2 linked regions of the Drosophila melanogaster genome follow. The gene in region 1 interacts genetically with each later gene. Each region holds a gene or a part of one and is shown in the gene's direction. Other genes may lie near its edges. The genes, in order: ppk30 and Vap33.

Region 1 (3,923 bases):
CGAGATATATGAGTGGTTCGCCATGCTGAATCTCTTACCAATTAGATCGATAATGGTAAACTCCAGGCTTGTGCGATACAAAGGTGTGGTCTCCACTTGGTAGTGCACATCCACCCTGAAGAGTTTCTGATGCGGATCCTTGGGTCTGCAAAGAATGGTTTCAGATATCTCAAGAAATCAAAGAAGGGTTCCATTCAAGTTTCATACAGTTTATGGGCTGACAAAGGCAGTGTGGTGGTGGAAGTATAATAGTCGAGCAGGTAGCAGTCCACCAAGCAGGAACAGGTCATTCCCAGCTTGGTGGCACTGAAAAGGGCATCCTCGTCCCTTCGCTTGTCGTAGCTGAAGATGTCTGCAACAGATGGGTTTTATTTCCAGAATTAATTTATTCCCTTATATGTATCTCCTACCATTGTGACGCGCAAGGCAGCGCAGGCTGACTGCGTTGCAATCCGGAACTGAAAGAAAATATTGGGACTATATTATATAATAATCACATCATAATCATATTATATTTTTTAAGAAAAGAGTAATTAGACTTACCTCTGTGGTTGTACAGGAAGAAAATGGGCAAGGAGCAGTTGCAGAGCTGAATTAGGTAGGACTCATGGCAGCGGTTGAGACAGTTGGAGAGCTGGAAGGGCTTTCCAAAGTTCTTGGCCGAATCGTTGGCGTCCAGTTCGCCCTGCTCGTCCGCGAAGAGGCAGTTCCTGCGCTCCGGCGGGATACTGCGCGTGGTGTTATCCGTCCAAGTGAGACCCGGACGGACAGTCACGTAGGTCTCCGTGTTTTGGGTTATTGAATATACGACATTGTTCAGTTGGTCGGGCTTCTTAATCATAACCTGAAAATGGTTTAATCTAGTAATATTCTACGGCCTGGCAGATACTTACGTAGACATTATTATTCGCCTGCGAATCGGGTCGCCTGAAGCTCTCGTTTAAGATTAGATCAAAATTCAAGCCCGTACTCTGGCCTGCTTTGGCATTGTGCCTCGGATAGAAGTTATTACCCTCCTTCTGCTTAATTGCCTTGGAGCGTGGCGAAACCTCCGAGTTGAAAACCAAACAAAATCCAAACTCCGTCTTCTCCAACACGAAGTATTCGCAGCAATTGAAGGAGGAACTGCGCCACAGGCAGGATTTCGGTACCATGATATCCGAGCATTGAAGAGTCATAAATATGGCCAGCTCAGTTAGGTTCACAAAGCCCACCGCCTCCAGGTTATCGTCCTCCAGCTCGGCCAAGCTTGAAAGGTAACTGCCAAAGCGCAAAGTTTCCATCCGAGAAACAAGGACGGTGAAACTTTCGACCAGTTCCACGCTGGCATTGGTCGGCAGGAACTGCTCCTTGGCCGCCTCCAGCTTGTTCCAGTTGATGCGGTTGTCCGTGCAGATTCCCACGGCCGGAAATGGCACCAGAAACACGGGGAACTGCGGATCGTGGACCACCGTCTGCAGCTTCTGGGAAACGAATCGCTCGGAGAGCAGGAGGTAGAAAAAGAAGGACAGCCCGATGCTAATGATGAGCAGCATCGACCAGATGATTCTAAATACAATGATTATATACAATTTAAAATTGAATGTAGATATGAATAGAGGATAAACCACAAACCTCTCCAAGTTATGCAGGTGGGAATCGTACAGATAGCGAACGCAGTGAATGGTGGACTTCTCGCAGTAGCTCCGAAAGTGGACCTTTAACAAATCCGCGAGGCACCTCTCGTTGTCACCAAAACCGGCTGCCTCTGTCGGTTTGACCGAATTATCTCCCTTGGCCATTCCGGTGACGAGTCACTCAATCACTGAGCTTTTGGCCGGAATTCGGGGATCCCTTTTAAGGCCACGTTCCAAAGGCCAGGTGACTTGTAATTGTATGTGAGGGGACAAAGTTCCGACGGCCAGGCCATCCATTATGGCTCACAAGCTTTGTAATTGAGTAGTTATGTTTCCTGCCATTTGATAAGCCCGCTGACAGAAGTGGTTGTCTGCGCATTGATTAGCGGATCGAACTACCAATTAGCGCGATTTTCCCACAGTCGCAGTTCGTCCGCTGAGTGAAATGAGTGCCACCGCCTGGAAGCCAGAACCCTCCTCCGAGGATAATGATGATGACCACAAGGAGTCAAAAAAAAAGCTGAAGAAGGAGGGGGCAGGTGGATGGGCTTCGACCAGGCGGTAAGTGATACCCTTCGCTCCAAAAATATCCATGACTCTGGCCGTGCATAATCTCTTGTGTTCCAAAAGTAATCCATGAAATTCGGTTTTTTTTTAATCTATAGATACGCCAGAATCCCCCTTAAAATAATGGCCGCTCTGGCCACCGTGTATGTGAGCATTCTTTCCTCGGAGCGGTACTTCTACTACTGGGTGCAGACCTCCATCGAAAGGACTGACATGCATGTATCCGAGATCGATTTCCCAGCCGTGACCATCATTCCGATCAATTTGAGCATCCTGAAAGCCGAGAAGCTCTCCAAGGCCTATAACTTGGTTCAGTCCGTGGTCTGGCAAACACCGATGTCCGCCCGCCTCACGGATGAGAACTTCACGGAGTTCTCCGAACTGGAAAACTGGAACGCGCAGAGCTGGGGAATCTACCAGGCGCTGCAGATGAACTGCCAGCACTTCTTCACCGAGTGCCAGTGGCGTCGCAAGGCGATGAACTGCTGTGACCTATTCCGACCCACCAAGACCTTCAATGGCTTCGCCTTCGAGTTCAACTCACTGGTCTCCTCGGGAAGAGATGAAACGTGGCCCTGGTCCGTGGCTTCATGCGGATCATATAGCGGACTCAATGTGAAGATCAAACGGCAGCAGGGTCTGTATACGTTGAATACAATGGGGGTGAGTCCGATAAGACATATGTACATAGATAGTGCGTCATGACATGGAGTAATTACCACACCAGGTGATAGTGCACGAACCGACCCAGTTGCTGGGCATGAGCATTGACTATTCCTCAGAGGATCGCATCGTGGTTCCGGTGGAACCACTTCATTTCACAGCCGAGTTGGATGTCCGGGCACGTCCCGTTCAAATGCGTCGTTGTTACTTTGAGGTCGGTTTCCTTAGCCAAATATATACTAGCTCTTAAACTTAATTTTACCTTAGAATGAGATACCAACGGGAAAGTCCCGGTCGGAGTGCATCTACAAGTGCCACGTCAACTACATCATCAGCAAGTGCAACTGCTCCTTGGAACTGCCGGTGAAGGCCACTCAAGATGAGGACAACATTGCGGCTGCAAAGGAAAGCAACGGACGTAGAATTTGCGGTGTGAAGGATCTGGCCTGCTTCAATCAGCACCGACGTGGGTCTAATTCTAAACTTAAATCATATATATATGATATATATGTACTGAATTCCGCTTAGTTTCCCTCTTTTCCATGAGCAACATCATCGAAGAGTCCCGTGATAATGTGTTCTCCACCGTGGATTGCGGTTGCTTTCCTCAGTGCGGTCACACCCAGTACCACACGTCAACCTACACGGAGAAGATGAGCGCCCACACCAACCTTGCCGCAGCGATCGAGATAGATGTGTACTTCCAGGAGGAGACCCTCTTCTCTTACCGCTCCATGCTCCGCTTCACGCTGATCGACTTAATGGGTGAGTTTGGGATCAATCACAGCTGCGATGACATGTACCCCCTACCCTTCACTTGTAGTTTCCTATGGAGGAATAGCCGGTTTGATCATGGGCATCTCGGTGCTAGGTTGCATCAACGAACTCTTGGATCGCTTCGCCTGTTGTCGCATACCCCATGGCTCCTAGGCCCAAGCTGGCACCATGAAGTACCAGCCATCGGCAGCTGGGTTCTCACGTTCCCACACTTACCTGTAACCGAAGCACACACAAATGCACCACTCACCTGGTTCTTGGGATGCGCACATAAACAAATCCAGAAAATAAAACGCATTC
Region 2 (3,923 bases), on another chromosome or scaffold:
GTCCAACGATGATTACGAAGAGCTGCTAAGCCTAGTACTGCGTCCCTTATTTATGCAATTAAATGTCGAGGACAAGATGGAAGTACTGCTATTGCGCGATGAGCAAAACGTTACCCAAGGATTTAATTTCAAGGCTCCCGATCATCGGGAGCGTCGCATACGCTTCTTTAATCAATTGGATTATAATAAGCGCTTCCCGATAACCAAATTTCTAGTACTGTGCTTTGAGAACGCAAGACAGACCTGGATTGATTTCTCCCACTTGGGCGTGACGCATACTCGCTTCTCGAAGCTATTCTGGCACATAGCTCAGTCTTGTCCCAAGCATGCTGCTTTTCATATTTCCGCCTGTGCCGATAACATCTTGGTGAACGAGCAACTACTTCAAAAGCCGTATGCCTTGCAGTTTACACTCTACCTATATGGCCACCGACAGATCCTCAACGGTCTCTACACGTCAGCGCGACAACTGTGCGTTAGTTTGAAAGACGGACGGTGTCCCTACGGAGAGGATGAGCTTAGGCAGGCGCAAAATAGGTTCCTAGACGCGTGTGCCTACGGTTTGGCCAAGTTTATAGAGCCCATGAACTTGCCCAGCTTGCAGTTAATCTTGAAACTGCTCAAGCAGATTAGTCTGGGTGAAAGCAATCTAATCACCCGAGGCACTGCAGAGTTAAATGCACTCGAAAAGGAGCACCCGAAATTGGAGAACGGAGACGATGCACCAGCTGTCAAGGTGGCCAAGCACTACACATATCTGAATGCCAGCTTGCCAGAGTGGCGTTTGAAACACTGGAAGCTGATCTCGCATGTCATGAAAACCATTGATGCCCTACGCTGGGACTTGGCCACCTTTGAAGATTTCCGGGTGGATAATTTAGAACTGGCGGTGTGGTATTGGCAGGACGGTCTGTCTCATCTGACATTCCTAGGCACTGGTGCGCTCTTATAAATGTAAGTCCAAGACGAAAGCCTACTAATTATTGCTCTTTCACAGAATGCCGCCAGAGGATCTTGAACCAAGTGAACAGTTTAAAGCACAAGGGCTTTTGGCTCATCTACCTTAAAGAAGACACCTTAAAGGACACACGCTCCTTTCTCAAATTGCTAACTCAGTCCAGTGCACAGGAGGCTAACGATCTCTTCAAAAAGCTCCTTAAAAAAAGGGCCGATTGTGCTGTTATGGGCGATCTTAGCGATGCAGTGGTCAAGGTGAACAGCGAGTCCGCTTTCATGGCCTTTAGATTCCTATTTCGAGAATATTTGATCGCCTTCCGGAGCCACGCCAAACACAATAAGACCATCACGAAGCGCCAGCATTGGGATCATTTGATGGCCGTTGTGGCCAAGGCTCCATTCTCCATTCGCAACGAGATTATGAAGCTAGCTAGTAAAGCCTTCGCTGTGCGATTCGGCATAAATATCCAGGAACAGCAGGCGGCCAAGTGTTAAGGAGATGCTGTTAGAAGTGTAATTTTCTTAAGCCAAATCGAAACTCCGCCGCTTGTCCAACACTTTAATTCTTAGGCAGTCAGATCTCTATATGACTAAAAACATATATAATATTCATAACGCTAGGATTGAACATCAGAATAATTTGATATCAGATTATTTTACAACTTTGTATGTCCTTTAAAAGGACGACTGTATGCACATAACAAATGTACCACTACCATGCAAATTTTTTGTCTTACTAAAAATACTTTGGCAAGCAAGTGAAGTTATTCAGCTGAAAATTAATAAAATTTTGCATGTTCTTTTTTTTCGTATTATTATGTATTATATATATAATATACAAAACGCTATGATTGAACATCAGAATAATTTGATATCAGGTTATTTTACAACTTTGTGTGTCCTTAAGGCCGACTATATTTACATAAAATATGTAATACTACCATCAAATACAAATTTGTGTTCTATTAAATAAATGCTTTGGCAAGCTTAAAATTATTGTAATTTTGCATGTTCTTATTTTTATTCGTATTTTTATGTATTACTTCGACTGCTTTGCTTCCTGTTGCAAAATTGTAACTTAAAACTAGGAAAATTTATTTTAATACATTTTTAAATTTCATGTACTCGTTATGTTATAAATTTAACTAATTTATATTCTGTCAAAAGCTGAATGGCATTATTCAGGGAAAGGAAAATTTTGGTGCAAATTGTTATTAATAACATTTTCAAATTACCTAAATAAAAAAAAATAGAAAAAATATCTTGTCTTAAAAAACACTATATATATTTTACAAGGTAATTTAACGACCAATGCTTGACAAGTATCGAAAAGTCGCTAAACTAAAAATATCGATACCCGATGCATCGATATTTTTTTCACATCACTAGCTGACAGAATATATGGCTTTTTTACATTTTGCGTTTTCAACTGAAGTTTGCGAAGAAACCGAAGCGTGGTAAACCACTGAAATCGAAAATATCGACAGAAAAGCGACCTAAAGTCGGTGAAGAAGTCGCACGTTGATCGTTGTGTTTTTTTCCCGAAATTTTCTGCAAAAAGCCCGTGCGTGCGTGAGTTTCTCTGGCTCTTGCTTTTTTTTTGTCCATGCGTGTGTGTGTGGTCGCATAAATTTACCGATATTTCGCCTGTGAGAGCGAAACGAACGAAAAACGAAAGAAAAAAAGAGAGACGAGTAAAGTAAAACGAAACAGGCATAAAAACAGCAGCAGTTTTCTTGATATATTTGGCTAAAAAACGCAAACGTAAGCGAAAAATTTGAAATCCCTCTTTTAATTTAGTTGTGTGCCTGTGTCTCGTATCTATGCGTGCGTCTGCATTTTAATATAATTTTGTGTGCATTTTCTTAACAGCAAACAGCCAGCAAGAACAACAAATAGCTGGGCAAAAACAGGACGCACAAAAAATAAAATTAAAACGATAAGAGGCGAAAAGCGGAGAGAGTGAAATTCTCGGCAGCAACAACGACAAGAACAACACCAGGAGCAGCAGCAACAACAACAACAAAAGCCAGCCGCCACAATGAGCAAATCACTCTTTGATCTTCCGTTGACCATTGAACCAGAACATGAGTTGCGTTTTGTGGGTAAGTTTATTTTACATTATTTTCGCGTTTTTGCGGAAAGGTCGCTGCATATCGACCAAAAAAGCCGATTCACCTCCCATTTCTTGCAAAGAGCAAACTGCAAGTTTCACTTTTTCTCTCTCTCACGCGCACATTTAATCTCCCTCCCTCTACGCTTTCTATTGCCATCTCGCTCGATTGGCTATCAATAATTTCCGTTGTTTTTGTTCTTCCTTTACATACGACACCTTTTATTGTTGTTCTTTTCGGGGTCTACGTGTATCATCGCTCTGCTTCTTTCCGTTTTTTTTCTTTTTTTTTTTTTTGCTTCAGCTCTTTAATGTATTTTATTTTTTGATGCCGGCAGCTGGCGTCGCTCTCTTTCTCACTTGCACTCGCCATCCCTCTCCCTCTTGCTCACTCGTTTCGCGTTTTTGGCTAGCATTATATTTTTATACGCAAAAACTTGTCATGGGCCATTTTAATTTTTTCTTGTCTTTTGGCTCCTTGAATTTTGGCCAAAAAGCAACAGCAGCAGTGACAAAAACAATGCAAAGAGCTCGCACAGTGGGTGCGACAAGTGGCACGGTTGTCATCGCATTGTTATTGAACTCCTGTTGCCAAGCTGCATTTTCCAGTGCATAAACATTTAATTTTTTTCGCGAAATTTTATCACAGTCTCAATTGCAGAACGAAATGTCTACTTAAATGACCAATCATTGTTGATTGCGATCTAGAATAATACACCAATAACCATTCACCATTTGTATTTTGTCTTATTGAAAAAAATTGAGTTAACTTTTCAAGTATTTTGCTATCGCTTCCATTGTGCGCAAATATTTTAATATCTGTGTATGTGTGAGTGAGCCTTAGCCCCATTCT

The links.
Region 2: of ppk30 (region 1) and Vap33, changing one suppresses a phenotype caused by changing the other (phenotypic suppression), as found in Drosophila melanogaster (one study listed by BioGRID).

What each region holds. Positions count from the first base shown.
Region 1 is NT_033777.3:29,667,097-29,671,019, forward strand, and holds the start of ppk30 (pickpocket 30), read left to right. Parts: upstream 1-2,052; 5' UTR 2,053-2,061; coding exon 2,062-2,177; intron 2,178-2,281; coding exon 2,282-2,846; intron 2,847-2,910; coding exon 2,911-3,060; intron 3,061-3,113; coding exon 3,114-3,312; intron 3,313-3,374; coding exon 3,375-3,611; intron 3,612-3,669; coding exon 3,670-3,776; 3' UTR 3,777-3,923. Other genes in the region: ppk20 (pickpocket 20), read right to left, coding at 39-145, 208-352, 411-458, 544-829, 876-1,781.
Region 2 is NC_004354.4:3,946,652-3,950,574, forward strand, and holds the start of Vap33 (VAMP-associated protein 33kDa), read left to right. Parts: upstream 1-2,323; 5' UTR 2,324-2,721; intron 2,722-2,829; 5' UTR 2,830-2,998; coding exon 2,999-3,062; intron 3,063-3,923. Other genes in the region: Gem4c (gemin 4c), read left to right, coding at 1-938, 998-1,452.